Linked DNA regions of Callithrix jacchus. The main gene of each other region encodes a partner of the protein of the gene in region 4 in a complex. Links are inferred from orthologs where the notes say so. Each region holds a gene or a part of one and is shown on either strand. Other genes may lie near its edges. The genes, in order: CWC27, SF3A3, CWC22, SF3B5, PHF5A, DDX46 and SF3A2.

What was found.
Region 1: SF3B5 (region 4) and CWC27 share a complex: the UniProt entries of both Homo sapiens proteins name them as parts of the minor spliceosome. The link is inferred for Callithrix jacchus from reciprocal best matches to the Homo sapiens genes SF3B5 and CWC27.
Region 2: SF3B5 (region 4) and SF3A3 share a complex: the UniProt entries of both Homo sapiens proteins name them as parts of the 17S U2 SnRNP complex. The link is inferred for Callithrix jacchus from reciprocal best matches to the Homo sapiens genes SF3B5 and SF3A3.
Region 3: SF3B5 (region 4) and CWC22 share a complex: the UniProt entries of both Homo sapiens proteins name them as parts of the minor spliceosome. The link is inferred for Callithrix jacchus from reciprocal best matches to the Homo sapiens genes SF3B5 and CWC22.
Region 5: the proteins of SF3B5 (region 4) and PHF5A are in contact, whole or in part, in a cryo-EM structure (PDB 7EVN), measured with the Homo sapiens proteins. The link is inferred for Callithrix jacchus from reciprocal best matches to the Homo sapiens genes SF3B5 and PHF5A. Residues at the interface, in NP_112577.1 of Homo sapiens: Arg4, Tyr5, Thr6, Ile7, Gln10, Leu14; in NP_116147.1 of Homo sapiens: Pro6, Asp7, Leu8, Ile9, Phe10, Cys11, Arg12, Ile88, Leu91.
Region 6: SF3B5 (region 4) and DDX46 share a complex: the UniProt entries of both Homo sapiens proteins name them as parts of the 17S U2 SnRNP complex. The link is inferred for Callithrix jacchus from reciprocal best matches to the Homo sapiens genes SF3B5 and DDX46.
Region 7: SF3B5 (region 4) and SF3A2 share a complex: the UniProt entries of both Homo sapiens proteins name them as parts of the 17S U2 SnRNP complex. The link is inferred for Callithrix jacchus from reciprocal best matches to the Homo sapiens genes SF3B5 and SF3A2.

The regions. Positions count from the first base shown.
Region 1 is NC_133503.1:144,475,007-144,479,125, reverse strand, and holds part of CWC27 (spliceosome-associated protein CWC27 homolog), read left to right. Parts: intron 1-3,472; coding exon 3,473-3,635; 3' UTR 3,636-4,119. UniProt on the Homo sapiens protein: As part of the spliceosome, plays a role in pre-mRNA splicing. Probable inactive PPIase with no peptidyl-prolyl cis-trans isomerase activity. As a component of the minor spliceosome, involved in the splicing of U12-type introns in pre-mRNAs.
Region 2 is NC_133508.1:74,563,262-74,568,012, reverse strand, and holds the start of SF3A3 (splicing factor 3A subunit 3), read left to right. Parts: upstream 1-1,776; 5' UTR 1,777-1,832; coding exon 1,833-1,928; intron 1,929-2,212; coding exon 2,213-2,260; intron 2,261-2,984; exon of another isoform or gene 2,985-4,506; coding exon 4,507-4,559; intron 4,560-4,664; coding exon 4,665-4,751. UniProt on the Homo sapiens protein: Component of the 17S U2 SnRNP complex of the spliceosome, a large ribonucleoprotein complex that removes introns from transcribed pre-mRNAs.
Region 3 is NC_133507.1:49,068,444-49,072,004, reverse strand, and holds the end of CWC22 (pre-mRNA-splicing factor CWC22 homolog), read right to left. Parts: intron 2,384-3,561; coding exon 1,800-2,383; 3' UTR 713-1,799; downstream 1-712. UniProt on the Homo sapiens protein: Required for pre-mRNA splicing as component of the spliceosome. As a component of the minor spliceosome, involved in the splicing of U12-type introns in pre-mRNAs. Promotes exon-junction complex (EJC) assembly.
Region 4 is NC_133505.1:150,851,505-150,854,828, reverse strand, and holds SF3B5 (splicing factor 3B subunit 5), read left to right. Parts: upstream 1-1,659; 5' UTR 1,660-1,779; coding exon 1,780-2,040; 3' UTR 2,041-2,395; downstream 2,396-3,324. Other genes in the region: uncharacterized protein LOC118153004, read right to left, coding at 1,561-1,659. UniProt on the Homo sapiens protein: Component of the 17S U2 SnRNP complex of the spliceosome, a large ribonucleoprotein complex that removes introns from transcribed pre-mRNAs.
Region 5 is NC_133502.1:192,270,102-192,274,701, reverse strand, and holds the start of PHF5A (PHD finger-like domain-containing protein 5A), read left to right. Parts: upstream 1-1,659; 5' UTR 1,660-1,704; coding exon 1,705-1,787; intron 1,788-2,124; coding exon 2,125-2,216; intron 2,217-2,698; coding exon 2,699-2,865; intron 2,866-4,600. Other genes in the region: ACO2 (aconitate hydratase, mitochondrial), read right to left, coding at 1,174-1,209.
Region 6 is NC_133503.1:33,232,378-33,236,496, reverse strand, and holds part of DDX46 (putative ATP-dependent RNA helicase DDX46), read right to left. Parts: intron 3,422-4,119; coding exon 3,245-3,421; intron 1,954-3,244; coding exon 1,735-1,953; intron 793-1,734; coding exon 648-792; intron 1-647. UniProt on the Homo sapiens protein: Component of the 17S U2 SnRNP complex of the spliceosome, a large ribonucleoprotein complex that removes introns from transcribed pre-mRNAs.
Region 7 is NC_133523.1:2,116,302-2,121,103, forward strand, and holds the start of SF3A2 (splicing factor 3A subunit 2), read left to right. Parts: upstream 1-1,676; 5' UTR 1,677-1,739; intron 1,740-4,802. Other genes in the region: PLEKHJ1 (pleckstrin homology domain-containing family J member 1), read right to left, coding at 446-669, 764-831, 1,000-1,093. UniProt on the Homo sapiens protein: Component of the 17S U2 SnRNP complex of the spliceosome, a large ribonucleoprotein complex that removes introns from transcribed pre-mRNAs.

The DNA.
Region 1 (4,119 bases), on a different chromosome or scaffold from region 4:
TAAAGTCAATGTCATTTGAGAATCTGAGCCTATGTGAAATTTTTTATTAATCAAACCTAAATTTTTATTTTTGCCTTCAAGTGAACAAGCTCTACAATTTTCATATGTAAATGATCAGTGTGTCATTAATTCCAAAAAATTCACTACTCTTCTTGGGCCAATTCCATAAACAGCCACAGAGTGGATAGAGTTATTGGGACATACACGATTGTAAACTATAAGACCCCCTGTACTCAAATTAAGTCTGTATTCTATGTCTGCTTGTGTATCCTCATAGGAGACCGTAAAGTACAGGCACGCTTTCAATTCATACAGTCTGTGATTTATAGAGGCACGTAGGTCAGGAATTTATTATGCTGAAAATCATAATAACTGTTTTGTTTTGCTTTTCAAAATGAAGTGACCAAAGCATGTTGAAAGATAAATGGTGAAGCATTTTGATTATGCTTTTATTTCTCTTAAAGATTAAATATTATTGCCAAATAACCAGCCATGCTAAGTATTATGATATTAAAGCTGAAGTAGTTTGTAAGCTGATAGCCCTTTCTTTCCTCTGGGTTTAGGTTTGTTATTAATCAAAATGTTGAACTTGCTTAGTAGAGTGGTGTATGAAACAAACAGTTGAAAAAGACAGCTCCTTTAACTTACGGCTCTATGGTTTTTTTCAAATTTGTAAGGAAATCTGTTTCTTCTTGCGGACTTTATGCTGTTATTCATGTGTCTAGAGTTCATTTTTTATACCAGAGCCAACTAAATCTAATAGTTGCAAGATTTTCTCATGGCATAGAAAGTAAGAAGGTGCCTTTTTATATTCTTAATTGACAACAGTCTGATCAAGTCATTTTTGAAACATGGAGAATCCATGTAATATCCCTAGAAATGGATATTACAAAAACTCATCTGTATTTCTGGGCAGAGAACAGGATAATTTTTTAAATAGAAGAATATGTATATGAAGAGGTATTAATAAGATAGTAGGTTTGTTTTCTCATATCCGTCCAAGAGTATTGATGAAATTGTTTTAAAGGGCATATGGTTCTTGCTACACTTTCTGGTGATGGATTAGACATCAACACAGCCAGCCATAAGCACTTGGAAAGCTGCTGCTAATCATGTACTGAAGTGCAGTAGAGGGGTCTAGACTCCCCATGATGTGTGGTAAGGGACCTTTAACAGGACAGTCCTACCATTCTTCTGCAGTTACTCCTCATCAGTGGTAATTTTACAATTTTAAAGAGTATATTTTGTGGGGGATGCAGCAAAGACTGTAAGAAATGTTGAAGAAAAAGGCTACCTCTCAATAACTGGGGGAAAAAAGGCTTAATTTATTACTTAAGTAAAGAAGAACTGTGCTTTTAAGGCACAGTGTCCCTACGCAAAGTAGGTGGCAAATCTTACATAGTGCTTTGGGGTCAGGAATTGTTTAGGTGTAGCTATTAATCTCAAAAGCCCCTTTATTCAAAAGAGACTATTGTTGATGGGCTGTCATTCAGAAGCATATTCACTGGAGTGAGTCTGCAGTTGATGGGCCAACTTTCAAAAGCATGTGGCTGTCACTGGTTAATTGGCTTTCAGAGGTGTATTTACTGAAGTGAGTTGTCACTGATCATTTAGACCTTGGTGAGACATCATTAATTGCTTAAATCTGGTTTAATTGTTTTTCCAACTGATTCTAGTGGTTTACTTAATACCATGACTGTAGAACAGTCAGCCTTTTTCTGGGAGTTAGAGATTGTCTTACTTTCAGAAGCTAATATCTAAACATTATAGGAAGTTGAAAGCACAAGAATATTAGACTTTGCAATGATTATACAATACATTTTTTAAATAAAGGTGTTTACTAAAGGAATGGAAGATTAAAAACTTGGCAACTCCACATGTGAAATAGCATGTTCAGGTATTGAGATCTGTTATTAAATTTGATACAAATAATGTATCATTAATAATATAGTTCCACGCATGGTGGCACGTGTTTGTAATTCCAGCTGCGTGGAAGGCTGAGGCAGGGTGCTCACTTGAGCCCAGGAGTTTGAGACCATCTGGGGCAACATGGCAAGATCTTCTCTCAAAAATAACAATAATAATAATGAAGTATAAAAATGTGAACATGACTTAAGTCATTCAGTAAATTAAAGTAGATTCTAGATCATCCATATATATCACTCCTACTTATTACATTCCAGCAAGCTTTCTTAGGTGGGACAAGGGAAGGTAGAAATGGTACATAAGCCTCAACTCGTCAGCCCTGGTGAGTAGCAGCTACTGAACCCTTAGTAATGATGGTATCACTAAAATTGTGACATTTTGTTTCCCTCCTATAATCTTTTTAGGAGTCTTTAAAATCTGGGTATATCCATGGGAGTTTGCCACACAAGTAAATATCACTCATAATTTCTGCCGCTGTAGGGAGAGGGACCTTCACTACTGCCTACTTACTGCCCAGATCTCCACTTACATGGGACAAAAGATATTAGCATCATATTTGGGTTTCATCTGCTTATATGGGACAAAAGATATTAGCACCATATTTGGGTTAAAACAGGCGTATAAGAAGTATTAATACTACAGTTTAACCCTGTCTGCTGTGATGAAGAAAAGTGTGTATAGGGTATAACTGGTAGGAAAAGACTTAGAGTTTTATTTGTTTAAAAATTAAACTTTTCTCTTTCCAAATTCATTCAACTGTTCTGAAGTCTGCTCTTTTGACTTCCCTGTTTATTCCTGACACTTCGTATGGGGCACAGCTAATTACTAACATATTTCACTGATCCTAAAGATAGCTAGCTTATGACCTCTTAGGATTCCAGCGTATGCTGATACCTTAAGACCAGTGAGCTTTTGAGGAAGTAAGAGAACAGGACTGGTTAGGTTTGTTGTAATCAACAGTAGAAGGAAATTAGTCCATAGAGTTATGTCAAAAGTTTAGTTTCCTTTTGTATGAAGAAAATATTTTTTTAAACCGGCAATTCCCCAGGAAAGGGAGTCATAACACCATTTGAACATCATTTTTAAATTAGCTTAATGTACTCCCTACTTTTGACCCATGTAACTGTTGAAAATTTTAAAAATCAGATAGGACTGGTTTATTGTCTTGAGTTTTGTTCTGCAGCCTGACTCACTCTGGCTAAAGGAAGGTGTTCTTTAAAGGAAGCAGTGTCCTCTGAGTTTACTTTGAGGAACGCTTCTGTATAGAACTCTTTTAACCTCCCATCAGGGGAGAAACCTCAAGTGAAAACTGAGGCAAAGATACTCTACTAGAAATATAAACCAACAGAACAAACTCCAGACATGTTTTTCAAATTTAAGAGGTTTCTGAGAAATTGGTTTCCATGTGGTGTAAGAACCAGTAAACAACAAACCCATCTTGGTGTTCCGTACGCTTATGGTTCATTATGCCAATGATAGTAGAGTATAGAATTTCTACTTTAAGTTCCCATGCAAGAATCACTGAACCATCTCTTTCCCTCTTTAGGATGTCACATGTACTTCAGTTTGAGGATAAAAGCAGAAAAGTGAAAGATGCAAGCATGCAAGACTCAGACACATTTGAAATCTATGATCCTCGGAATCCAGTGAATAAAAGGAGGAGGGAAGAAAGCAAAAAGCTGATGAGAGAGAAAAAAGAAAGAAGATAAAATAAGAATAACGATAACCAGAACTTGCTGGAAATGTGCCAGCAGTGGCCTTGTAACAGCCATTGTTCCCAACAGCATCACTTAGGAGTGTGAAAAGAAGTATTTCCGAACCTGTTGTCTGGTTTTGAAAAACAATTATCTTGTTTTGCAAATTGTGGAATGATGTAAGTAAATGCTTTTAGTCACTGGTACATGCGTTTTTTTCCTACCTGACCTTTTATATTGCTAAATCTGAAATAAAATAATTTTCCTTCCTTGTTACATGTTAACCATTTGCAGACTATGCAAACCTGTTTGTGTCCTTTCACCCTAAAATATGTGAAGGCTTCCTTTTCAAGGTTTTTTTTTTTTTTTTTGCCAATCAGTGTGAGCTTGTAAGGTTGCTCAGGTTAGCCTTGAACTCATGACCTCGCCTTCACAAGCGCCACGACATCTGGCCGTTCAAGGTTTTTTAATAACAAGTTCTTACAAAAAGAATATTTCT
Region 2 (4,751 bases), on a different chromosome or scaffold from region 4:
TTCTTTGTATGGTTCCAGTTTTAGTATATGTGCTGCCATAGTGAGCACCAGTGTTTTTCTTTTAACACCTTTCTGGACATTTTATCTGGACACACATTGTTGTTTTTCTGCCTGGCTTCTTTCACTTAGCATGATGCCTTCATGGTTCATCATTGTAGTGTTACTTTATTGCTGAATAATGTTCCATTGTACTGTATAGATATACCACATTGGATCCATTCACATTGGATCCATTCAACAGTTAATGGACTCTTGGGTTGCATCCGGTTTTTGTCTGTTATGAATAATGCTGCTGTTAACATATAAATACATGGACTTTTTGCATTTCTCTACAAGTGGAGATAAATAGACACAGTCTTTTTTTTTTTTTAAAGGCCATATAGCATTTCACATAAGGTCTTCCACTGCTTGGATGCACAGACTTTATTTTATTTATTTCATATTTTGACAGAGTCTCGCTCTGTCATCCAGCTGGGAGTACAATGGCGCGATCTCGGCTCACTGCAACCTCCACCTCCCAGGTTCAAGTGATTCTCCTGCTTCAGCCTCTCGAGTAGCTGGGACTACAGTCACGCACCACGCCCGGCTAATTTTTTTGTATTTTTAGTAGAGACGTGGTTTCACTGTGTTAGTCAGGCTGGTCTTGATCTCCTGACCTCATTGGATGCACAGTATTTTATTTAACATATCCTCTACCGATAGGTTCCTTCTACACATCAATTTCTTTTTCTTTTCTTTCTTTCTTTTTTTTTTTGAGACTGAGTCTTGCTGTGTCACACAGGCTGGAGTGCAGTGGTACAATCTCAGCTCACTGCAACCTCTGCTTCCTGGGTTCAAGCGATTCTCCCGCTTCAGTCTACCAAGTAGGTGGGACTACAGGCACCTGCCACCATGCCCGGTTAATTTTTTTTTTTTTTTTTAGTAGAGACGGGGTTCCACCATGTTGACCAGACCGCAAGTGAGCCGCTGGCCTTGGCCTCCCAAAGTGCTGAGATTACAGGCGTGAACCACCGCGCCCGGCCTCACTTGAGAATTTCTTTTAAAACACCACCATTGGTGGCTCCGGCCTGTAATCCCAGCACTTTGGGAGGCCAAGGCGGTTGGATCACAAGGTCAGGAGATCGAGACCATCCTGGCCAACATAGCGAAACCCTGTCTCTACTAAAATACAAAAAAAATTAGCTGGGTGTGGTGGCGCACGCCTATCGTCCCAGCTACTCGGGAGACTGAGGCAGGAGAAGTGCTTGAACCCGGGAGGCAGAGGTTGCAGTGAACCAAGATCGCGCCGCTGCACTCCAACTTGGCGACAGAGCAAGACTCCGTTTCAAAAAAAAAAAAAAACCCACCAGCAAAACCCCACTATTCCCATTTCACTGAGAAAGACACTGAGGTCCAGAGAAGGAGCAAACGTTCTGATAATTCATGCTGAAAACTGCGCCCTCAAATTCCGGTTTCCCAGCTCCCATCCGGACTCCAACTGCTCGCACAGTCCACACAGGGTACCTGTCCGCCCAGCCGGCACCCGCAAGCCCCGGGAAGCCCGCCGCTGAACCTCAAGTTCTTGGATTTTCCTATGCCACCTGGAGGAATCTGCAAACCTCTTGGCGTCCGTCCACCACACCTCCGACCAGCAGGTGGCACTGTTGCCATCTCGATAACATAGACTCGTCCTCCTTGTGGTGCTCATGTTTTCCTAAGTCCCTGGACACTTCCGGCACTGGAGGAACTTTGGTGCGGCCGGATGCGCAACGTGGGGACTCAGGCGCGCAAGGCGGCACGGGTTGTTTCCGCCTTGTAGGTGGTCTGTATTGAGAGTCCGCGGCGAAGGGAAGATGGAGACGATACTGGAGCAACAGCGGCGCTATCATGAGGAGAAAGAACGGCTCATGGACGTCATGGCCAAAGAGATGCTCACTAAGAAGTCCACGGTAAGTTGGGTCTGGTCAGGGGCTGCGTGTGAGGCTGGGCCTCTATCCCGTGTTTGACCTCTGAGAGCTTGCTTTGGGCCTCAGTCTCCCCACGCTCCGCCCCCGTCTCCTCCGGAGCTCCGTCTCCGAGCTCCGGTCTTGGTAACCTCCTCCCGGAGTCCAGTGCCCCAAAGGCCTTTCCGCCTCAGCTGCTAAAACCTGAGCCGGTGAGCTCCGCCCTCGGGCGGCCTTTTCTACTCCGGAACGTAAACTAACGGCGTTTGTGTCACCGTTTGTTTTTTCAGCTCCGGGACCAGATCAATTCTGATCACCGCACTCGGGCCATGCAAGATGTGAGTGCGCTGCTGTCTGCCTCTTTTTGGGTCGGCGAGGGCGGGAAAAGAGAGGGGAAGTGAAGTGCTTGTCTCAGCATGAGCCCTGGCCAAAGGTAACCGGATTGGCCAGTCGAGGGCTCTCTGTCTGGGCAGTCCACCGGCTGCCGAACGTGAGGGTGCTTCCTCACTTCTCTGAATGGGGAACTCTTACGCATTCTTAATTACTCGGGAAGATGCCCATTCTTTTAGTTTCTTTTCTTTTTTTTTTTTTTTTTTTGAGACGGAGTCTCGCTGTTGTTACCCATACTGGAGTGCAATGGCACGATCTCGGCTCACCGCAACTTCTGCCTCCTGGGTTCAAGCAATTCTCCTGCCTCAGCCTCCCGAGTAGCTGGGACTACGGGTGCGCGCCACCATCCCCAGCTAATTTTTGTATTTTTAGTAGAGACGGGGTTTCACCTTGTTGACCAGGATGGTCTCGATCTCTTGACCTCGTGATCCACCCGCCTCGGCCTCCTAAAGTGCTGGTATTAAAGGCGTGAGCCACGGCGCCCGGCTCTTTTCTTTTCTTTTTTGAGACCGAGTTTTGCTCTTGTTGCCCAGACTGGAGTGCGGTGGCGTGATCTGGGCTCACTGCAACCTCCACTTTCCGGGTTCAAGCGATTCTCCTGTCTCAGCCTACCGAATAGGGGGATTACAGGCGGCTGCCGCTACACCTGGCTAATTTTTTGTGTTTTTGTAGGATGGGTTTCACCATGTTGACCAGGATGATGTCGAACTCCTGACCTCGTGATCCACCCACCCCAGCCTCCCAAAGTACTGGGATTACAGACATGAGCCACCGCGCCCTGCCTACAAGTGCACATTCTTTTTTTTTTTTTTTTTTTTTTTTTTTAATATTTTTGAGACGGAGTTTCACTGTTATTACCCAGGCTGGAGTGCAATGGCGTGATCTCGGCTCACCGCAACCTCCGCCTCCTGGGTTCAAGCAATTCTCCTACCTCAGCCTCCCGAGTAGCTGGGACTACAGGCTGCGCCACCATGCCCAGCTAAGTTTTGTATTTTTAGTAGAGACGGGGTTTCTCATGTTGACCAGGATAGTCTCGATCTCTTGACCTAGTGATTCACCCACCTCGCCCTCCCAAAGTGCTGGGATTATAGGCGTGAGCTACCGCGCCTGGCCCAAGTGCACATTCTTACAGCATCCCGTATCCCTTGGATGTGCAAACAATAGTTATGAGGAATCTATGACACAAGTGCACAGCTACAATCCTTCTCTTAAAAAAAAAACATATATTAGTGTTTTTCTGTCAGGATACTGTTTTAAAGTTTTTTGGACTACTAAACTGCATTTGCCTTGTAATTGCTCAATTTATTACTTTAAAAAAAGATGTTATATAAATTATAAAAATTGGGTGATGAGTAAATGGAAGTTATGCTACCTTCCTTACTCTTAACGTATGTTTGAAACCTGTTTAAAAAGGAATAAAAGACCTACTTGGATCTTCTGATTTACAGGAGAGAATCAGATTACAAGCCCTCAGCCCCAAAATACTCTGAAAACTAAGGATTTTTTTTCCCTTGGGTGATTATTTGATGTCAAAATCTGACTTGACCTCACTTGGTAGTAAAACCTGGCCTGAACCTGGGATAGGCTTTTTATAGTCTTTTATTTATCCCACTTAGTAGATAAGGCATAAGGTTTACTGCAGAACTGTGTGCTTCAGATTCCACTAGGGATGTTACATAATATATGATACCTTTTCTGAACTTAAAAAATTCCAAATTCTGAAACAAACCTGGTCCCCAAAGTTTTGGAGGCATGACTACATACCTGTACCATCCTGAATTAATATACTTTGACTCCAAAGGAAGCCTATGTAATGTTTATTTAGCCTGCCTGCTCCTCAGTCAAGCTTTTTGAAATGGTGAATATCATTATCTTTGAGGATTTTAGGTGGGAACTGTGTTTAGCCAATGAGGATGAATCTGTTACAGACAGAGTTAGGCATTGGTGGTATGTAAAGATAGGAGCCACCTCTTAAATGATATCATTTTGGTAATCTTCCAGTCAACCTATTTAAAAAACTAACCTGGAATCAGGGCTGTGTGTTAAAAGGTACTAGGAAGTACAGGAACTGTTAAGACCATATCCATGTCTCTTGAGGTTGCCCTTGGGCTTTGACTGGAGAGCCCTTGTTGTTTGCTTAGCTCTACAGTTGTGCAAATTGTGTCGTTCTGATGGTTTTGTATTTGCCTTTCAGAGGTATATGGAGGTCAGTGGGAACCTGAGGGATTTGTATGATGATAAGGATGGGTAAGTGACAGTCACAGCTAATCTAAGAATTGGTGTTTCTGAGGAACCCTAGTTAGAGGACTGACTTTGTGCTCTATCTTCTTTGAATTTTTCCTGAAATTGCAGATTACGAAAGGAGGAGCTCAATGCCATTTCAGGACCCAATGAGTTTGCTGAATTCTATAATAGACTCAAGCAAATAAAGGAATTCCA
Region 3 (3,561 bases), on a different chromosome or scaffold from region 4:
CTCAGCTATTCCTTCTGCCTATAAGGTTCTTCCCAAGAAATCCACGTCTCAAGTACTCACTCTGTTCAGGTATCTGGGCAAACATCACCTCATCAGAGAACTGCTCTGACCTTCTATACCCCCTGTCCCCCAATCACTCAGTCTTTCTCTGCTTTACTTCATAGCACTTATCACTTCTAGATATGTCACATATTTATTTATTGTCTTTACCATCTCCTTCCCCTGAACTATAAGCCCCAAAGTGTAGAAACTCTGTTTACAGTTTTATTTCTAGTACCTAAAACAAACCTGAGCAAATAGTAAAAGCTTAATACATATTAATAACATTAAAAAAGAATCTAACTACTCTAAGGTCTTAAGTACTTAATAAAAAGAATGGGTTCCCATATTTACATGTAAAAGTCATGAACTAAGGTTTAAGTGAAAAAAGTAATTTAAAATTCCTAGTCTACTACTTTTTCCTTTTTACCACTCCCGAAGATGAGGGTTCAAGTAAAAAAATAATTTCCCTTAGGGCTTATGGCCCACATGTTTGTTAAATCCAATCTCCTCAGCTTGCAGTTCTGTGGAATGCACTATGTCTATGATAGTCCCCTTCCGATGATAGCAAATTTTAACCACCACAAAGGGAGAAAAATACTAAAAAGAATTATCTAAGTTATCTCATTCAAATGAACGCTTTTTGTGAGTTGGTGGGGAGAAGGCGAGGATATTTAATTACATAAATTTTATTGTTACTTATAGTCAAGTTAAACAACAAAAATAGGAAACATTTTGAATCAGCATATGCCCAAAAACTAAACATTAAAATAGTGGCCTCAGTATTCCTGAAACCAAACATTGGCTAAAACAAACTATATGCACCTTTAAGGTGAGCAAGCACAAGTCTACATTTAGCAAGTAAGGTCAAATGTTTGCCAGCAAGTCTAAGATCTCAGAGGCAATATTTATTTCAAAAGTAATAAATAATATGGTCATATTAATTAATCGGTGACAGTTACAATGATGGAACCCTTAAAGTTCGTATAAAAAAACAAATTACAGTTAGGCTGCTTGCATATCTCACAACCGTTAAGTTTTCCAATGATCTATTAATCAAAATTAAAAATTAAATACATATTAATTCATCAACAGTGACAAAACTTCAAGGCCGAGAAAAATGTACTAATCACAAAGAATTTCATTTAAATGATATCAAGCAGTCCAGAGAGAAGAAATGTTGCCTGTGGGAGTAGTCCTAATTATAAATAACTGTGTATTGGTTTAAAGACTAACATACACCTAGCTTTACCAACACTTGTGAACAAATTACACATTACTTACTTTGTTCAAAGCCTAATATGAAAACTGTAATAAATCCTTTGGTTTAAAAAAGTGACCACTTGAAAAAGATTCATGACATCTCATTAGCAAAGCAAAAATGTTAAACTGAGAAGGTTCACCTGTTTCGGTCTTCAGTTAGAAATAAAAAAGCACTAATAATTCACTATAACAGCTTCTTAAACAATTCAAAAAAAATTTTGTCAATTAAAAAAAATGACTGAATCAATGAGCAATTTGATAATTTTATTCATAAAATATAAGTGAGACTTACATCCATTTCTGGTGAATCTTCTCAAATAATTTTATGTGTAGGGCCTTGAGATGTATCAATTATAAAACATGAAAACATTTTTAAAATTTACAAATACAAACCATTAGTTTATACAAGAATTCTCTATAAAGTTTGTCAATCAAAGTAAAAAATAATATGCTTCAACTGAATATAAGGCATGTCCAGTTTGTGTCGTTTTGTAGAATTATTTTTGTTTAGTTGGAGACTTTTCTCTCCGCCGGTCCTGATTTTTCTTTGATTCTCTGGATTGTTCAGAGTATCTGTTAGATTTTTCCCATCGCCTCTCGGCACCATTCTGATATCTATCTTCATCACTTCTTGAGCCAGAGTGTTTTCTATTCGTTTCCCTTGACTTTGATCTATCTTTTCTTCTAAAATTTTCACCATCCTTATTTCGGTGTCTATGCTTCTCATTTTCAGAAAAAGAACTTCTGTCTCCTCTCTTCTTTTTGGGGTCACCATGCTTACTTTCCAAATCTATATGCATTTCTTGGTCTATGTCATTCACAACTCTATTGTAGTTATTTCGTTCAGAAGGAACACCTTTGTCTGATGTGTACTTTGTCATAGGATCTCTCCAATTTGAATCTCTTGAATTTTGATCTCTGTGTTTTTCTGATCTTCTTTCTCTCTCAGTCCTTATTTCCTGGTGCCTTTGTTCTTGCCTTCTTTCTTTGTGTTTCCTATCATTTGTTTGCTGGTTTCTGATCAATTTATCTACTTCTTTACTTCTGGTCTTCCCATGTCCCTTCTTTCTTACATCATTAGCTGCATATGTAAAATAAAAGACAGTTAGCTTTTATTTCAATCTTAATTTCATAATTACAACAATCACATTTACAGATACACTGTAGGTTTACTAACTCAGATAAACTGGACGCAAAGCCAAATTGATTGAATAGAAGGTCTGATGACACAGGGTCTTAACAAATGCTTAATTTTTAAGAATATAGGACATCTCAGGTCAGGCACAGCAGATCACGACTGTAATCCCAGCACTTTTGGAAGCAGGGACAGTGGGGAGGTGGACTGCTTGAGCCCAGAAGTTCCAGACCAGCCTGGGTAATGAAGTGAAACCCCTTCTCTACAAAATCTCAAAAATTAGCCAGGTGTGGTGGCATGCGCTTATAGTCCCAGCCACTCAGGAGACTGAGGTGAGAGGATCAACTGAGCCCAGGAGGCAAAAGTTGAGTGATCCATGTATGCACTGCACTCCAGCCTGGGTAACAAAGTGGGACTCTGCCAAAAAAAAAAAAGGGAAGGAAGGGGAAGAAGGAGGGAAGGAGGAAAGTCAAGGAAGAAGAAAGGAGAGGGAATATATAATATCTCAACATTAGTTACCAAAGTACTGTTTTGATCTTTAGATTCAAGACAGTAAAAAGAAATTTTATAGCAAATGTAAAAATTTTTAGAAAATGACTCGAATAGTACATTTCCACTTAACAAATTTAATCAAAAAATTGAAATTCCGTCTGATGTGTGTTATTTATAGGAATATTATGTCAGATGTGGTACCTAATCGAAATACAATGATAACACAAATTAGCAATCACTTCCTAAACATAGGAGGAGTAGAACAACTGGGTTTGCTTAACAGTATGAATATATACTTCTCAATGAAAGGCCTCTTCCTGCCAAAACAATAGTTCTCCTCTCTGATACTTGCAGAGAGACACTAAATGCACCAACAAGAGCAGATATGTTAAGATTTACAGTCATAGGCTTTATTAGAGCCACAAATGCTTAGTTTCTGAAGAAACTCTTCTAAAAAGACCTCAAATAATTTAATTTTGCTGATATAATCCCAACTATAAATACGAAATGATTATACTGAAATAACTTACCACTTTAAGCAACAAAACAAATTTAATCAGTTTATCCGTTACTTAATTTGGGTGCATAAATCAAAAATGCTAAGATAATAAAAATGTCTGTCGAATTCTTAC
Region 4 (3,324 bases):
GCCCAGCTAATTTTTGTATTTTTAGTAGAGACGGGGTTTCACCTTGTTGACCAGGATGGTCTTGATCTCGTGATCTCGTGATCCACCCGCTTCAGCCTCCCAAAGTGCTGGGATTATAGGCATGAGCCACCGCGCCCGGCCTCTTGGATACACAAACCTTCAGCAATTAAAAAAAAAAGTTTCCCCAGAAAAGTGGCAAAATGTCAAGGTTTGATACATCTCCAACAAGTATGCCTTATAAAATTCTCTACATTTTAGTAGTGAAACGTTTGTTATAACAAAGTTTAAACAGCAGAATAAAACTATTTTCAAGTTCTCTCTCTCTCAGTAGTGTTCCTTCTCTACGGTTGTAATACAATTATTTATCAAATTCTTGTTTGGGATATATATATATATAATTTTTAAAGAGGATCTCGTTTTTTTCAGGTAGCCTCTATCCATATGAGGAAGTTATTAAACTAAAAATTAGGATATAAAGCAATAATAAGGAAGAGATGGATAATCTGCAAAGAGGAAGAAGAATTTACATCTGTCTGGAGCAGCCAGAGAAAATTCTAGGGAGATGCATTTGAGCTGCCTTTAAGGCAGATGCGTTCACCAAGGGAACAGACATTCCAAGTAGAGGGAACAGCTTGCACAAGGAACTGGGGAATGGGCACAACAGGTAACATGGAGAAGTACAGTTGTCCCTCAGTATCTGTGAGTGATTGGTTCCAGGACTCCATGGATACCAAAACTAGAAGATACTCAAGTCCCTGATATAAAATGGCTTGTATTTGCATATACACACATCCTCCCGTATAGTTTTTCTCTAGATTATTTAACAATACCCAATACAATGTAAATACTATGTAAATGGTTGTTATATTGTTTAGGGTATAATAACCTTTAAAAGTCTACACTTCGGTACACACTAATTTTTTTCCCAAATATTTTCAGTCGGGTTGGTTGAATTCACAAAACCCACTGAATGGAAGGGCCAAGTAGGGTGCCGTGAGGCATTGGAGGGAGGATATCAAAATAACTGGCTAGAGAGGAAGGAGGAACTTGAGGTGGAGCCGGAATGTGAGGAAATGGGTACTGTACTTGCTCACCAAACACCCTGGTTAGAGCTGAAATAACTCTTTGATGCTACAAACTCCTAAGCGACATAGTTGGGACCAGAACTCGCGCCTACTGACTTCTGGGTAATCCATCCCGGGTAGTGAAGGGACTGCCGTGCCGCCACGATAGGTCCGAAATACATAAGAGTTTATTTTCGGGGTTGCTCGTAGTCCACTCCTATTTGGGTTTCCCATTTCCCATCAGCCCCAAGCCAACCACGGATGCTTCCCGCCTCGCAGACAACACCCTCCACTAGGCACCCATACCGCTTTTAAAAGGCGACCAGAAGTTCCGGAGGCTGGCGTGCACGAACTCCAAAGACCAAGACCACAAGTCCCAGCATGCAACGCTCCCGGTTGAAAAGGGCCTCTCATAGCCACTAAGCGGACCATCATGCAACGCTCTATGAAGGGGCACGGCTCACTACAGGGGCGGCACACTTGTAGCGTCGCATACCTCGGCAACTCCAATTCCGTGACTGATGTGCTTCCGCTTCCGCTTCCGCCTCTGAGCCCTATGAGCGAGAGTTACACTACTTAGTCTCAGTGACGCCATTCTTCTGCGACCGCGTGGGCCCGGAGGTGCTGTGCGGTGTCCTCACTCCCGCTTGAAACGGTAGAGCGGTGACTTGTTTCCTGCGGCCTCTGACCTCGGAGCGAAGGGGAAAGCGGCGAGATGACGGACCGCTACACCATCCACAGCCAGCTGGAGCACTTGCAGTCCAAGTACATCGGCACGGGCCACGCCGACACCACCAAGTGGGAGTGGCTGGTGAACCAACACCGCGACTCGTACTGCTCCTACATGGGCCACTTCGACCTTCTCAACTACTTCGCCATTGCGGAGAATGAGAGCAAAGCGCGAGTCCGCTTCAACTTGATGGAGAAGATGCTGCAGCCTTGTGGACCGCCAGCCGACAAGCCCGAGGAGAACTGAGACTGCCTTACCAACGCCGTGCGCGGCGCCTCTCCCAGCGTTCCTCCCGTTTGCCAAATCCCTCGAGTATTCCTGCCTTCAAGGGACCGGCTCTCTCCATGGCTCCTGCGTCCCGCGCTTTCTGCGTATAGAAGTGCTTGCCGGGGAAGTCCCTCCTGACCCGCCTTCATGTGGACACTTTGGGACAGCATTGAGAGACCAGCAGGACCCCTGAGAACTGTGCTGGCGGAGAGGTCCTGCAGCCGGCAAGTCTCTGAGAAGAGGGCGTGGCGCTGGAGTGAGATGGGATTTGGCGTCTCGTTTTTGCCTAATTGATTGTCATTGGCTTTTTCCATAAAGTTTAGAAATCGTTCAGTCTCTTGGTGTGAACTTCCTGTGTTAGGGTGGAGGGCTCCGGAAAGAGCTCCAGGCACCGAGGTTCGCGAGAGTCCGAGTGGGAAATGGGTTTGGGTGAGGGTGCGAATGCCAGTGTCTGTGGCCAGGCACTTAGATATGCCTGTATACCTTTATAGTGTTCCCCGACTGCCACTTCCTCCAAGAGCTTTATTTTCAGTCTCACAATGACTTCAGTTTTGAAGTTTGCGGTTAATGTATCCCATCTTTTTCTTCTGTTTTAAAAATCTTTGCTGTCATTGTTTTCCCTAGCCTCTTTAAATTACATCCTTTCTTTTTCCTGGGAATTTGAAACCATGTCTCCAGAAATGACAAGATGGCAAGCGAGTTCATCCATTCTACATTCAACAAATATTTGTTGAGCTCTATGTGACAGGCATTTTCCCATGTTCTTGGGTATACATTAATGCTGGTGGTGGAGAAAGGTCAAACACTGTAGGCATAGCAAGCAAATGTTAGAAGGTGGTGCTGGGAGGGGAGAATTATGTATATGGTGTGGGTGGGGTAGCTGGTAGGGTTGTAATCTTAAATATGATGCACAAGTTATTGAGATGGTGATATTTGAGCAAAGACTTTAGGGAAATAGCCATGCAGAAAGTGAAGAAATTGCTTTCCATGAAGAGGGAACTGCCAGTGCAATGGTACCAACGCTGGGGGTATGTATGACTTACTGGAGGAACTGCAAAGAGGCAAGCATGGCTGGAGGGGGTGAACAAGGGGAAAAGTAGAGGGACAGGTAATGATGGGGAAAACAGTAGAGCCTTCTAGGATAGTATATGAACTCTGAGGAGCCATTGAAATGTTCTGTTTTTTTATTTTTAAAAAATAATAGATGGGTCTTCCTATGTTGACCAGGTTGGTCTTGAACTCTTGGACTCAAGCTGTCCTCCT
Region 5 (4,600 bases), on a different chromosome or scaffold from region 4:
TATGGTAAAATGTAAGCAATGTGATGAAAAATAAAGTGCCACAATGCTTCCTGAGAGCAACGCATAACTTGTAAAATTCTATTATCAAAGTTGTGCCACTTGATCCAAAAGATTCACAAAGTGAACTGTGACAGAGGATGTCTACAGAGGCTTGCTGGCTTTATTTTTATTAACAAGTACACATTTGACATTGAACCTTTGAGTATAACACCTTCCCAGGGCTGTCAAGTTAGGAGTGAAAAAACCATCTGGCAGTCACAGTCAGCTTTCTACATAGCTTCTAACAGGGAAGTCAAGGTCAAACTGGAGTCTCCCTATCCTTCCATATTTGACAAGCAACTTGTTATGAGCTCAAAACATTCATTCTGCATTCTGACAAATAGAAATGACAGTACCATGGTTCAGAAAGTTCTGTGAGGGCAAACTGACATAAACAAAAACTGAGTGGTGGTAGGGCTCATGCTTCTGTCACAGCACTTCGGTGACACTCAGAACCAGAACTTTCACCTACTCTCTACCAGTTTTATGACCTATCAGATAAGAAAAACCATCTCATTCCTATGATTACATGAATCAAATGATTTAACGAAGAATTAAAAGTTTTCAAATCTTGTGCAAAGGTGAGAAACTATCATTACTATATACTACGCAGGGGCCCAGAAGACACCCCCAGGCATTCCATGTTCCGCAGAGTCCTCAAAAGGTGGCACAGGGTCCTAGTTTCTTCTCCAGGCCCGGCAACTGCAGATGCTGTCGAGTCTCTGTTGCTATGAAATGGGAAGTGAGGCCTCAGGCACTGGGCCTAGAATGCTCAACAACGACCGCGCCCCCTAGTCACCTTGTCCTCACCTTGAGGAACCGAAACACACTCCACAGAAGCAGGGAATGCTCTCCTCAAGAAGAAGGAGGTGCCTCCGCTCCTCACCTGGCCGCCGCTGCGTGGGCCCACGCTTCTCGCGGGGCGGGGGACGGGGCCAGGAAAGCTGACAGTGTGGGGGACGCCTTGACCTAGGGCACCAGAGGAGCGGGCACGGGTGCTGGGCCCACAACCAGGACAGGTACAAGAAAAATTGGCCCCAGGTCGGGCCCGCCTCGCCCTGCCTCACCCACAGCCGCCGGCAGAGTAGGAGGCACCCCGCCCCCATGAACCTAGAGGTCCCTGAGCTTGCTCACCTGCAGCCGGGTCACCAGTAGGCTGTAGGGCGCCATTTTGTGCACTGACAAAGATGAGGTCGCGTGAAAGTGACGTCCCACACGGCGCTTTTAAAGCCTTTGGGCAGGGGCGTGCCCAAAATAATGGAGCGTCACGGTGAAGGCGGGGTCTCCCTAGAGGCGGCAGAACCCTGAGAACGCAGTGAGCGGAGTTCACGTGTAATGAACCGACACGCAAGAGGAAAAAGAGGAAATAAAACTGCCGAAAGTCACTTGCAGAAGTAAATACCAAGCACAAAGATGTTTATCCAATAAGAAATTTTCATTATCTCTGCCATCCAAATCTGGGAGTTTTTAAGACTTTTATGCACCTGCCAGGACCTGACCGCCCAGCGACAAAACTCTCGCGAGAGCAAGCGGGCCCTGGTGCAAGGATTGTAAACTGACGGAAGCCTAGAGGACCAATCACAACGACGTAGAGGCAGGAACTATAGGGGTTAAGGATCCAACGGAAGTTCCCGAAGCTTCCGGCGGCCGGCTTCGTTGGGAACTATGGCTAAACATCATCCTGATTTGATCTTTTGCCGCAAACAGGCTGGTGTTGGTGAGACTGCGCCTTGCCCCCGGCTGTCTGGGTAGGGGTAGTGTTAGGATCTGGGGGCTGGGGGGGTTTCCATCTCTTCCTTAGGGTCTAGCCTCTCAGGCGCCACGTTTCCCGCCTCTCAGGCATAGAGTGTTGTAGGAGCGCGCAGGTTTGTGGCCTCTGAGGGCGGGGGTGCGCGTGCTGGGAGCCCCAGGCAGGCGTCGGGGTTGGGGTCTGGGCCAAGTCTAGAGAAACTTAGTTTGCTAAGGACTTTGGAAGACATTCAGAAGGATACTCGGGCTATGAGTTTGCTTTATGTGGAAATTTGTAATGATAAAATGGCTATCCACAGGGCTCACTACAGTCCTTGTTCATGTTCCTGTCCCTAGGTCGAGGATGTACTTCCCCTCTTTGTCAAAATCTTTAATTGTACTTTTTACTATCTTTGATTTTGCAGCCATCGGAAGACTGTGTGAAAAATGTGAGTGGAACACACCGTCCAACAACCCACCCTTCCTACTCCCAGTTTCTGTGGAGCCAGCCAAAGTGCCACAAAGGGGTCTTTGAGTAGATGTGCCTGGATCTAGATGCTGGACTTCAACCAAAGGCCCCTCCATCTCCCCACTGCCACTTGCACATATAATGCTGTATCTATCTCTAGCTTTCAACAGGAAGAATCGCCAGAGTAGCGTGACCCCTCCCCAACATACAACATTTTGCCAGCAATTATATAGGCTTATCATCTCCCAAGTGCTTTTCTAAGTTCTTTCCATATGTTAATTGATAAACTTTTGTATGTGTTGAGGGGTTTGAGATGGATGCTGGATAAACCAAGTTTGTGATTCCCAAGAGGAGGGCCCTAAAGTCACTGTCAAAAGGAGACTAGTATCTTTCCCCATGGCAGGAAATAGCAGAGGACTGAAGAACTTGCTAGTGAGCATGACTTCATTCTTTTCCTTGCAGGTGATGGCAAGTGTGTGATTTGTGACTCCTATGTGCGTCCCTGTACTCTGGTTCGCATATGTGATGAGTGTAATTATGGATCTTACCAGGGGCGCTGTGTGATCTGCGGAGGCCCTGGGGTCTCTGATGCCTATTATTGTAAGGAGTGTACCATCCAGGAGAAGGATGTAAGTGTACAGCTTTCCATCTGACCTTTCCTCCTTTTATTTAATAACACTTTGCCATCCACTGCAATCTCCTATGGTCTATGGAGATTACTGTGTTCATCTAGTCATCTAGGTTATAATTTCTTCAAGTTCTGTGAGTCAAACTGGGTGTAGTCCAATAAAAGGCAGTTATTTTGCATCAAGGGGAAAATGCAAGGTAAGCAAATCTGTGTCAAGACCAGCAATTTGGAGAGCCCTCTCTCTATTCTTTTTATGTCTCTCTGTGATTATTCTTATTCAGAAATGACATCTGCTCCAGGCGCGATGGCTCACGCCTGTAATCCCAACACTTTGGGAGGCTGAGACAGGTGGATCATGAGGTCAGGAGTTCCAGACCAGCCTGACCAACATGGTGAAACCTTGACTCTACTAAAAATACAAAAATTAGCCAGGCTTAGTGGTGTGCGCCTGTAATCCCAGCTACTCAGGAAGCTGAGGTAGGAGAATCACTTGAACCCAGGAGGCAGAGGTTGCAGTGAGCGAAAATCGTGCCATTGCACTCCAGTCTGGGCAACAGAGTGAGACTCTGTCTCAGAAAAAAAAGACATCCAGTTGGGGATGGTGGCTCACACCTGTAATCTCAGCACTTTGGGAGTCCACAGCAGGAGAATGACTTTAGTCCAGGAGTTCAAGACCAGGCTGGGCCATACAGCAAGATCCCATCTCGACAAAAAATAATAATTTTTATTTGAGACAGGGTCTCTTGCTCCGTGGCCAGGCTGGGTGCAGTGGCATGATCATGTGCAAGGCTCACTGCAGCCTTGACTTCCTGGGCTCAAGCAATCCCCCCACCTCAGCCTCCCAAGTAGCTGGGACTGCAGGCATGCACCACCACACCTAGCTAATTTTTTTTCTTTTTTTTTTTTTTCCTTTTTTTTGAGATGGAGTTTTGCCCTTGTTGCCTAGGCTGGAGTACATTGGCGCAATCTTGGCTCACCACAACCTCCACCTCCCGGTTCAAGTGATTCTCCTGCCTCAGCCTCCCAAGTCGCTAAGATTACAGGCATGTGTCACCACACCCAGCTTTTTTTTTTTTTTTTGTATTTTTAGTAGAGACAGGGTTTCTCCATGTTGGTCAGGCTGGTCTCAAACTCCTAACCACAGGTGATCCACCTGCCATGGCCTCCCAAAGTGCTGGGATTAGAGGCATGAGCCGCCATGTTCAGCCTGGCTAATTTTTTTGTAGAGATGGGGTCTCGTTTTATTGTCTGGATTGGTCTCAAGCTCCTGGGCTCAAGCAATCCTCCTGCCTGAGCCTCCCCAAGAGCTGGGATTACAGGCATGTAGCCATCATGACTGGCCAAAAAAATATTTTTCATTAGTAGGGTGTGGTGGTGTGCACCTGTGGTCCCAGCTGCCTGGGAAGCTGAGGCAGGTGAATCACTTGAGCCCAGGAGGTCAAGGCTGCAGTGAGCCATGTTCATGCCACTGCACTCCAGCCTGGGTGACAGAGACCTTGTGTGTTTATTAGTCCTATACAGTGCATGTTGTGTCACAGCCACTCATTAATGTCTCAAATCTATCATTAAGCACTATTTGGGTATATATCATGACAAAGTTGAACTTGAGACAATTCAAGTTGACATCAGCTTTAAGCAGGTAACGAATGTCTTTGGTTTAATATTGCAGAAATGATTTTGGACCTGCATCATGATTTTTTTTGTCCCTTGACATTGTGTATGACAGTGGCTACTTA
Region 6 (4,119 bases), on a different chromosome or scaffold from region 4:
AAAATACAAAAATTAGCCAGGCATGGTGGCAGGCGCCTGCAGTCCCATCTACTCGGGAGGCTGAGGAAGAAAAATTGCTTGAACCTGGAAGGGAGAAGTTGCAGTGAGCCAAAATAGTGCCACAGCACTCCAGCCTGGGCAACAGAGCAAGACTCCATCTCAAAAAAAAAAAAAAAAGAAAAACCTGATTGCTGTTAGATAATGTAATAATGTATTATTTGTATCCATTAGATTATGGCGTTAATTGTCTACTTGTTATTTTGTTAAAGGTATAAACTTTCATGAGCATAATTTCACAGGCAATATTTGCCTAGATAAACATTCATTAAGTGGATTAATATAGTTGATTTACATTCCAACCTAAACTTAGGCCAGAATATACCTAAGCATAAAAAGGTCAGTCCTCAAAATGTTGTTTTAATTTTCAAATTTGATTTGTCAAAACTGAGTCTCACAAACAGATCATTTACTTTTACATACGTACTGAATTTCTAAATAAAGACCTCAAATGACATGAAATTTTTTTGTCAGAGGCGTTCCTTACTTTCAGTTCTCTCTAGAATTGACCTCACATTCTCTCTGTGTCTATTACATCTACATCAACCTTGATCTAAACTGAAGACTGAAACAGAACCAACAGCACATACTTTCAATTGCCAAGTAAATCTTCCGCTCGCCCTCCTTGGGTTCTTTGCCAGGAGGGAAATATGTTCCTCTGATTGTAATTGCAGCTTCAGAGTATTCACTGATTCTCTGTAGAGCTTCCTTAGAGGTAACTTTCCACCTAGCAGTCTAAAAGAAAAGGTAAGGAAAACAAAAATCACTTCACAACAAGACAAAAAAACCCAGGAGTGCTAACAAAGACTAGGCTGACTGATATCACATTATGGTCAATATATATATATATTTTTTGGAAACAGAGTTTCGCTCTTGTTGTTGAGGCAGTGAGATCTTGGTTCACCACAACCTACACCTCCAGGTTCAAGTGATTCTCCTGCCTCAGCCTCCCGAGTAGCAGGGATTACAGGCATGTGCCACCACGCTCAGCTATTTTTTTTTTTTTTTTTTGTAGAGACGGGGTTTCACCATGTTAGTCAGGCTGGTCTCGAACTCCCGACCTCAGGTGATCCATCCACCTCAGCCTCCCAAAGTGCTGGGATTACAAGTGTGAGCCACCGCGCTTTGCCCTATGGTCAATATTAAGATCATTCTTGGATAGGCGTGGTGGCATGATGTTGTGGCTCATTCCTGTAATCCCAGCACTCTGGGAGGCCAAGACAGGAAGATCACCTGAGGTCGGGAGTTCGAGACCAGCCTGAACAACATGGAGAAACCCCATCTCTACTAAAAATACAAAAAAAATTAGACTGGTGTTGTGGCACATGCCTGTAATCCCAGCTACTCGGGAGGCTGAGGCAGGAGAATCACTTGAATCCAGGAGGCAGAGGTTGAAGTGAGCCAAGATCACACCACTGCACTCCAGCCTGGGCAATAAGAGCGAAACTCCGTCTCAAAAAAACAAAAACAAAACAAAGATCATTATTAACACATACCTGCATAAGTTCATTTAGATCCTAAGGTACACTGAACATATTCATAAAAGTCAAATTTCTATTGTTACATCCTCCATTTAGGTAAAAAGTGAAGTAGCTATTAAAATATTCATGGGTTTTAAAGATGAGATTTTTGCTTTTTCTGCTTCACAATAAAAAAAGGTTTAAAACTGTTACTTGCCTGTGGGAAGTCATTGATCTCTAATTCTTCTTCATATCTCTTAAAAGATTCATTCTGTCCACCATCCTGTCTCTCTTCTTCTTGTTTCTCTAAAGGCACATAATTGAGCTTGGCATTGATCTTTTCAGCAAGTTGTTCTGCAATGGTTTTTGCAGACACCGTGGGAGCCAGAATGGTGCCACCTCTAAGAATTGCATTGGTGGCCTGTTGCATCACATCCTGTAGTTAGAGAAGACTTACAGTTAAATCTCAAATGAGGGCAGAGACAAGAGTAGGGAACCCACCACAAATTATTCTCTGAAAAGCTACTAACTTTTATGCAAGTTTAATAAATAAACACTTCTAATGCATAGCCCCACTGACATGTGATTTAGCAATACATAATTATAACATAGTTTAATGTTTTTCCCTGTGAATAAAAAAACTGGAAAATATTCAACTCTCTATTATATATTCTACTAGATCATAGAGATGCAGCTGATAATTAACTAACTCTTGATGTCAGATACAGTAAATATTTCCAGAATCATTTACATACTTGGTAACTCCTAGGAGTTTCCTCCAAATTTGAAAGTTTATACTACTACCATCACTGAGTTCCTTCCTCCCCATGACCCAACCCAGCATTAAAAATGTGATAATGACTGACTCAAAAGCTTCAAAATAACAAATACGCTTCCAAGAAAGAGGTATCATGAAATATGTAAAAATTACATTTCTCCATTTAAGCCCATGTTAATTTGAGTCATTTAACTAGGTGTTTGTACATCCAGGGAGTTGTATGCCCAATAACCCAATGAAAGCTTATAAAGAAACAGAATTATTCATACATCTTAACGGTTTTGTTAAGACCCATCAGAATACTACTCTATAAAACTACCTATGGCTAATAGTTAGAAAGTCTAGAACAGGCATAAAGTCCTCAGTTAATAGCACTAGAAAAATCATCCAAATACAATTATAAAAAAAAATCCTATGTTGAGAATGTTAAATTCTCACAAACTCAATGTCCAGGACAACTTGTTTACTTGTGCTCAACATAATCCTTGAAAAATAAAATCAAAGAACTTATTAAAAGTTTTAGCTTGGTGCAGTGCCTCACACCTGTACTCCCAGCACTTTGGGAGGCTGAGGTGAATGGATCACCTGAAGTCGGTAGTTCGAGACCAGCCTGACCAACATGGAGAAACCCCATTGCTACTAAAAATACAAAATTAGCTGGGTATGGTGACACATGCCTATAATCCCAGCTATTCGGGAGGCTGAGGCAGGAGAATCACTTGACCCCAGGAGGCAGAGGTTGTGGTGAGCCGAGATCATGCCATTGCACTCCAGCCTAGGCAACAAGAGCAAAACTCAGTCTCAAAAAAAAGAGTATTGACTGAGACTTGGAACAAATTACTTAATACCTGAGAGCACACCATTGTACTCCTGGCCTGGGCAACAAGAGCAATACTCTGTCTCAAAAAAAAAAAAATGTATTGACTGAGACTTGGAACAAATTACTTAATACCTGAGACTCGATGCCCAAATTCTTCTGAGCATTGATTCTAAGAGCCAATCTCTTAGCAATTTCTAATTTCTCAGCATTTCCTGCAGTTGGAGCAGGAACACTTGATGTTCCAGGGGCAGCCATATCCTTTACTCTCTTCTTTGAATTAAACATGCTTTCAATTTGCTCATCAATCTAGATCAAAAGCAAAAAAAGGACAAGTAAAAAAACTGAATTAGAAATACCAAATTAGGTTATTCTACAGAAATAAATAAGGAATGTTTCCACCAACAGGCTGGAAATATTTATGCAAATCCTACTACGTAGATCAATGGGAAAATATACCACCTATTTGTTAAAAGTCACATGTCTCATTTCAAATATCAGTTGTCTATGGTGGGAAAAAAAACAGAAACAGAGAAACAACACTGCATGAACCACTTCATCAGACTCCTGAGAGGCCCAGAAACTACATCCCTGTTCAATAAATGAGGAAACATGTGCTGTCAAGACAGAACAGCAAATATGATGCAGCTGAGTTGCCCCAGGGCTCAAGCCTTGAGACCAAATTATACTGCAATGAAAGAGGCTGGAAAAAGGGCTATAACTCAAGGTCAGTGGCCAACTAAAAATACAGTCAATAATTCTCAAGGGGAATAGTATAACACGTTCCTAAGGCAAAGCTCTCAAAACTCTTCCTAACCCATAAAATGCAATTGGATTTGCCTTGAAAACTGGGTAACTGAACCAGAAAAGGCTTATTCCCTTATTCCTTTGAATCAAGAAAGGAAATAAATGCAGGTTGTTTCCCCATCAAGGCAAGTGCAATGATGAAAGCTTTGTTTTGACAGAAGTCACATGAATGCTACTGCTATGTACATTTCTTTTTTAAA
Region 7 (4,802 bases), on a different chromosome or scaffold from region 4:
AAGGTGGACCCAGACGCGATGCGGGGAGGACGAGGTGAGGATGGAGGCAGGGATGGGGAGATGCTTCCACAAACCGAGGAAGCTGGGAGGTGCCGGCCACCACCAGGAACTGGGATCGTTTCTGATACTGAAGCCGCCTGGCCTGTGGAATTTTGACAGCCCCTCTTGCGAACTCCATCTTTCCCCGAAGACGGGAATCTCTTAAAACCCAGGAGAGCCACACCCCTCTCACTCCCCCACCCCGACCTGGGGTTTCCAGCCCAGGGCCATACAACAGTGTAGACCCACGCTAATCACGGCAGCCGGGGAAGCGCTGTGCATCACGGCCCGTCCGCCCCGTGGGTACAGCCTGGGCCCACAGGAAGAAAGGGCAGACTCTGGGAGGGGCCCAAGCTTAGGTGGACTTGGCAGGTGGGCACGGCGGTGCCCGCCAGGAGGACCTGACCTTGAGCTGGCCGTGGACAACGCACTCTTGTGTCTGGGGAGGGTGGCGCCAGGCTGGGGACACAGAGGAGGCCTTGGGCGCCTGGGGAGGGGACAGTGCGGCGCCGCGGGTGCCCCGGGCTGCTGGAGGCGCCCCTGGCCTCCCCAGCCGCACTCACTGATGGAGAAGGTGCCGGGCTCCTCCCGGGTGACTCTGCAGCGCTCCAGCAGCAGGGCTCCGACGGGCTGCAGGAGACACGGGCGCCGGGACGCGGCGGTGAGCGCCCAGCCTCCCCGGGGCGCAGCCTGGCACCCACCCGCGCGCCCGGGGCGCCCCTACCTCGGCCTCGTCTGTCCGGAAGTAGAAGAGGAAATTCACCACGAGCTTCACCAGCCGCCGCTTCAGCACTGCGAGCACAGCGCACGCTCAGGGGCGCAGGCGGTCCCCGCCCGGATCCCCACCCTCCACCCCCAGCGCCCTCACCCGAACCCCGGACCCGGTCTCCCGCCCAGGCCCGGACCTCGGTCCCCGCCTCCAGTCCCTAGCACTGTCCCGGTCTCCCGGGTCCCGCTCACCGCTGCCCTTCTTGGGGCCCCTCATGCCCAGCTCGGCCGCCATCTCGGCCGGCTGCCGGGACAGCGCCTGCAGCTCCTTCTCGTTGTACCGCATTGTTCCGCGGGGAACGGGAACCCGTGCCACGCCTTCCCGGCCGCCGTCCCCGCTCGCGCCGGGGCCGGCGCCAAAAAGGTCCCAGGGCGCACACACGGAAGCACCGCTGGGGCTAGTGCGCCTGCGCGCCTTGGGCCGGCCATGCCACCCACCCCCGCAGGGTGGCGCTGGCGTCCCGGGGGGGGGGGCGTGCAAGGGTTGGCTGGGGAGACGGACCGTCGTTACTAAGTTAACTGAAATACACCGGACCAAGGTGGAACAAAATCAAAACAGCCCCGCGAGGGCTGGCGCCCCTTCTTAGAACGGCCAGGCGCAGGCGGAGGGAGCGATAACATCTCCCGAGTATCAGCCGCCCTCTCGCGAAAGTCGGCCCCGCGCGGCCGCAGCGGACCCAGGGGTCGTTGAAAGCGTTGTGCGCACGCGCGCTTTGTTTTCCAGGCCGCACTTTCAGACCCGCCACCTCCAGCCCTTTCCCTCGCGCCTCCGAACCTCCCGACGCGCGCCGCGGGGCGGGCCGGGCATGCGCACACGGGAGTTCCCGCCCCATCTGCCCCGGAAGTGCTTTCTTTTGCCCGCGACGCGCGTGCGCCGAACGAAATCGTGGCGGTGGCGGATCAAGGTGGCGATAGCGCGGCCTTGGGCTCTGGTGAGGGCGTCGGTCGACGGGGACTGGGGGTTCCCTGGAGGGGAGCGGACGTGGGAGAGAAGCGCTTGCTACGGGCCGCGGGCTGAGGGGCGGGCAGCGGGGTCGCGTCCCTTCCTCCTCCCTTGAGCGTCCGGCCTCGTGCATCTAGAGGCCCCGCGCTGGGCGGGCTGGCTCGAAACTCTTATTTCCAAACACCTGTTGGGGGGTCCGTACTCCGGACCTCACGCCTCTAATCCCAGCGCTCAGGGAGGCCTCGGCCGGAGGATCGGTGGAGGCCAGGAGTTCGAGACCAGCCTGTACAACATGGAGACCTCATTTCTACAAAAAAATTTTTAAAAACTAGCCAGGAGTGGTGGTGGCGCTTGTAGTCCCAGCCACTCGAGAGGATCGCTTGAGCCCAGGATGTCGAGACTGCAGTGAGCCATGATCTCACCACTGCACTTCAGCCTGGGCAACATAGCGAGACCCCCATCCCTGCAAATATTGTTTAAAAAATTAGCCGGGCGTGGCGGCGGGCGCCTGTAGTCCCAGCCACTCTGGAGGCTGAAGCGGGAAGATCGCTTGAGCCCAGGAGCTCGAGGCTGCAGTGAGCTGTGCTTGCGCCACTGCACTCCAGCCTGGGCAACAGAGCAAGATCCTGGTTCGTAAGATAAGAAATAGACAACCGAGACTCAGGGGTCGGATCAGGATCGCGGCCGAAACGGTCTGGGTCCGCTTTGTTGTAGCCCAGAGCGCTCCTGCATCCTAACCTATACCTGTTAGTTGACTGGGGCTCTGTGATGTAACTCCTCTCAGCTTCCGTTCCTTTAAAACGGGAGTGACAGCTTCACCAGGCCCAAGGCGAACGGAAAACCTTAGCTGGCCCCATTTTGCAGGTCACCCCAGGCAGCTGGATGCCTGCGACCGTTACTCCTGTGTGTCCTTGGGCAGCACCAAACAGCCACGGGAGCTCTGGAAAATAGGTTGTTTGCTAGGTTTAAGGAGAGAATGGAGTTGCCACCAAAAACTCCCATCCGCTCAGTGTTCCAGTCCCAGGCCCCAGGACTTTCCCCAGTTCCTTTTTTTTGGGGGGGGACGGAGTTTCGCTCTTGTTACCCAGGCTGGAGTGCAATGGCGCGATCTTGCCTCACTGCAACCTCCGCCTCCTGGGTTCAGGCAATTCTCCTGCCTCAGCCTCCCGAGTAGCTGGGATTACAGGCACGCGCCACCGTGCCCAGCTAATTTTTGTATTTTTAGTAGAGACGGGGTTTCACCATGTTGACCGGGATGGTCTCGATCTCTTGACCTCGTGATCCACCTGCCTTGGTCTCCCGGAGTGCTGGGATTATAGGTGTGAGCCACCGCCCCTGGCCTTCCTCAATTCTTAAGTGGGTTTCCCTGGTCTTTTTTGAGACAGGGTCTTGCTCTGTCACCCAGGCTGGAGTGCAGTGGTGCAGTCACAGCTCACTGAAGCCTCAGGCCATGCTCCTGCCTCAGCCTCCTGAGTAGCTGGGACTACAGACACTCACCACCATGCCCGCCTAGTTTTTGTATATTTTGTAGAGACGGGGTTTTGTGTTGTTGCCCAGGCTGGTGTGGTGCTCCTGACCTCAGGTAATCCGGCTGCCTCGGCCTCCTAAAGTGCTGAGATTACAGGCGTGAGCCACCACGCCGGGCTCGGCTAACTTTTGTATTTTTTTTTTAGAGGTGGGGTTTTGCCATGTTGGTCAGGCTGTGCCCTGGTCTTCCTGGACTGATCTGCTGATTTCACGTCAGGGTGGTTGACACTACCTCCCTCCCATCCACCCCCTGCACCTTCACCTTCCACCTCCTGGATGGGCGTCTGTCCTGAGCGGGAGTAGGTCCTTGGCTACGTTTTCTAAATAAGATGGAAAACGTTGTTGGTTGCTGAGAGAAGTAACATGTTCAGCTGGGCTTTTGTTTTGCACTCTTTCTTCCCCTAAAGCTGAGCAAGTTGCTTTTTACCATTAGCCTGCTTTGCTTTTTTTTTGGAGACAGTCTTGCTCCGTTGCCAGGCTGGAGTGCAGTGGCGCCATCTCGGCTCTGTGCAGCCCCTGCCTCCCGGGTTCAGGCGCTTCTCCTGCCCCCGCCTCCCCCCGTAGCCTGGTTTTCTTCTGCCTGTTTGTTTAGCTCCTCACAGAGCTCCAGCATCTCACACACCTATCAGTTGTATTTCACACAGGTTTAAATAAATCCGTCTCTCCTCACCACTTCCCTCCAAGACTCACGTGTCCCCTCCTCCAGGTGGGACTGGTTCTGCTCTGCCCTGGACGTGGGGCTGTTGCCCCAGAGCTTCCGGTCCTTGCTGCCCGGGGCCTGCCTCTGTTTCCAGCGTGGCCACCCTGTCCTCTCCATGAGTCAGAGCAGAACTTCTGGTGGCTTTTGAAGAAATAGATGATTGTTTTGTTGGTGGGGGGGGTGGCCCTTGATTGTCTGAAAATGAGTTTATTTACCCTCATAGTTAGGAATTTGGTGGGGTATAAAAATCTAGATTGAAAATCTGTATTCGTAGGCTGGGCACAGTGGCTCACGCCTGTAACCCCAGCACTTTAGGAGGCTGAGGTGGGTGGATCACCTGACTTCGGAGTTCAAGACCAGGCTGGCCAACTTCACGAAACCCCATCGCTCTAATAATGCAAGCATTAGCCAGCTGTGGTGGCGGGCGCCTGTAGTCCCAGCTACTCCCAGCTACTTGGGAGGGTGAGGCAGGAGAGTCACTTGAACCCTGGAGGCGGAGGTTGCAGTGAGCCCAGATCGCCCTGCTGCTCTCCAGCCTGGGCAGCAGAGTGAGAATTCATCTGAAAAAAAAAAAAAAAAAAAAAAAAAAAGAGAGATGGAAAGAAAGAAGGAAGGAAGGAGAAAATCTGTGTTTGTTCAGAACCGTGAAGGCTGTTTTCAAAAGACGGGCGGCCCGCTGGTTTCTGCTGCGTGTTGTGTTCTGTCCAGCGGAAGCCTCGCGTTCTTCCTGGTGTGAGTTCCCGGCTTCCCCGTTTAGCAGGGTCTGTTTGCTGATCTTGGTGGGTCCTTGCTGTCTGGGCAGTTTGGTCTTTGAGTCCCAGGTTT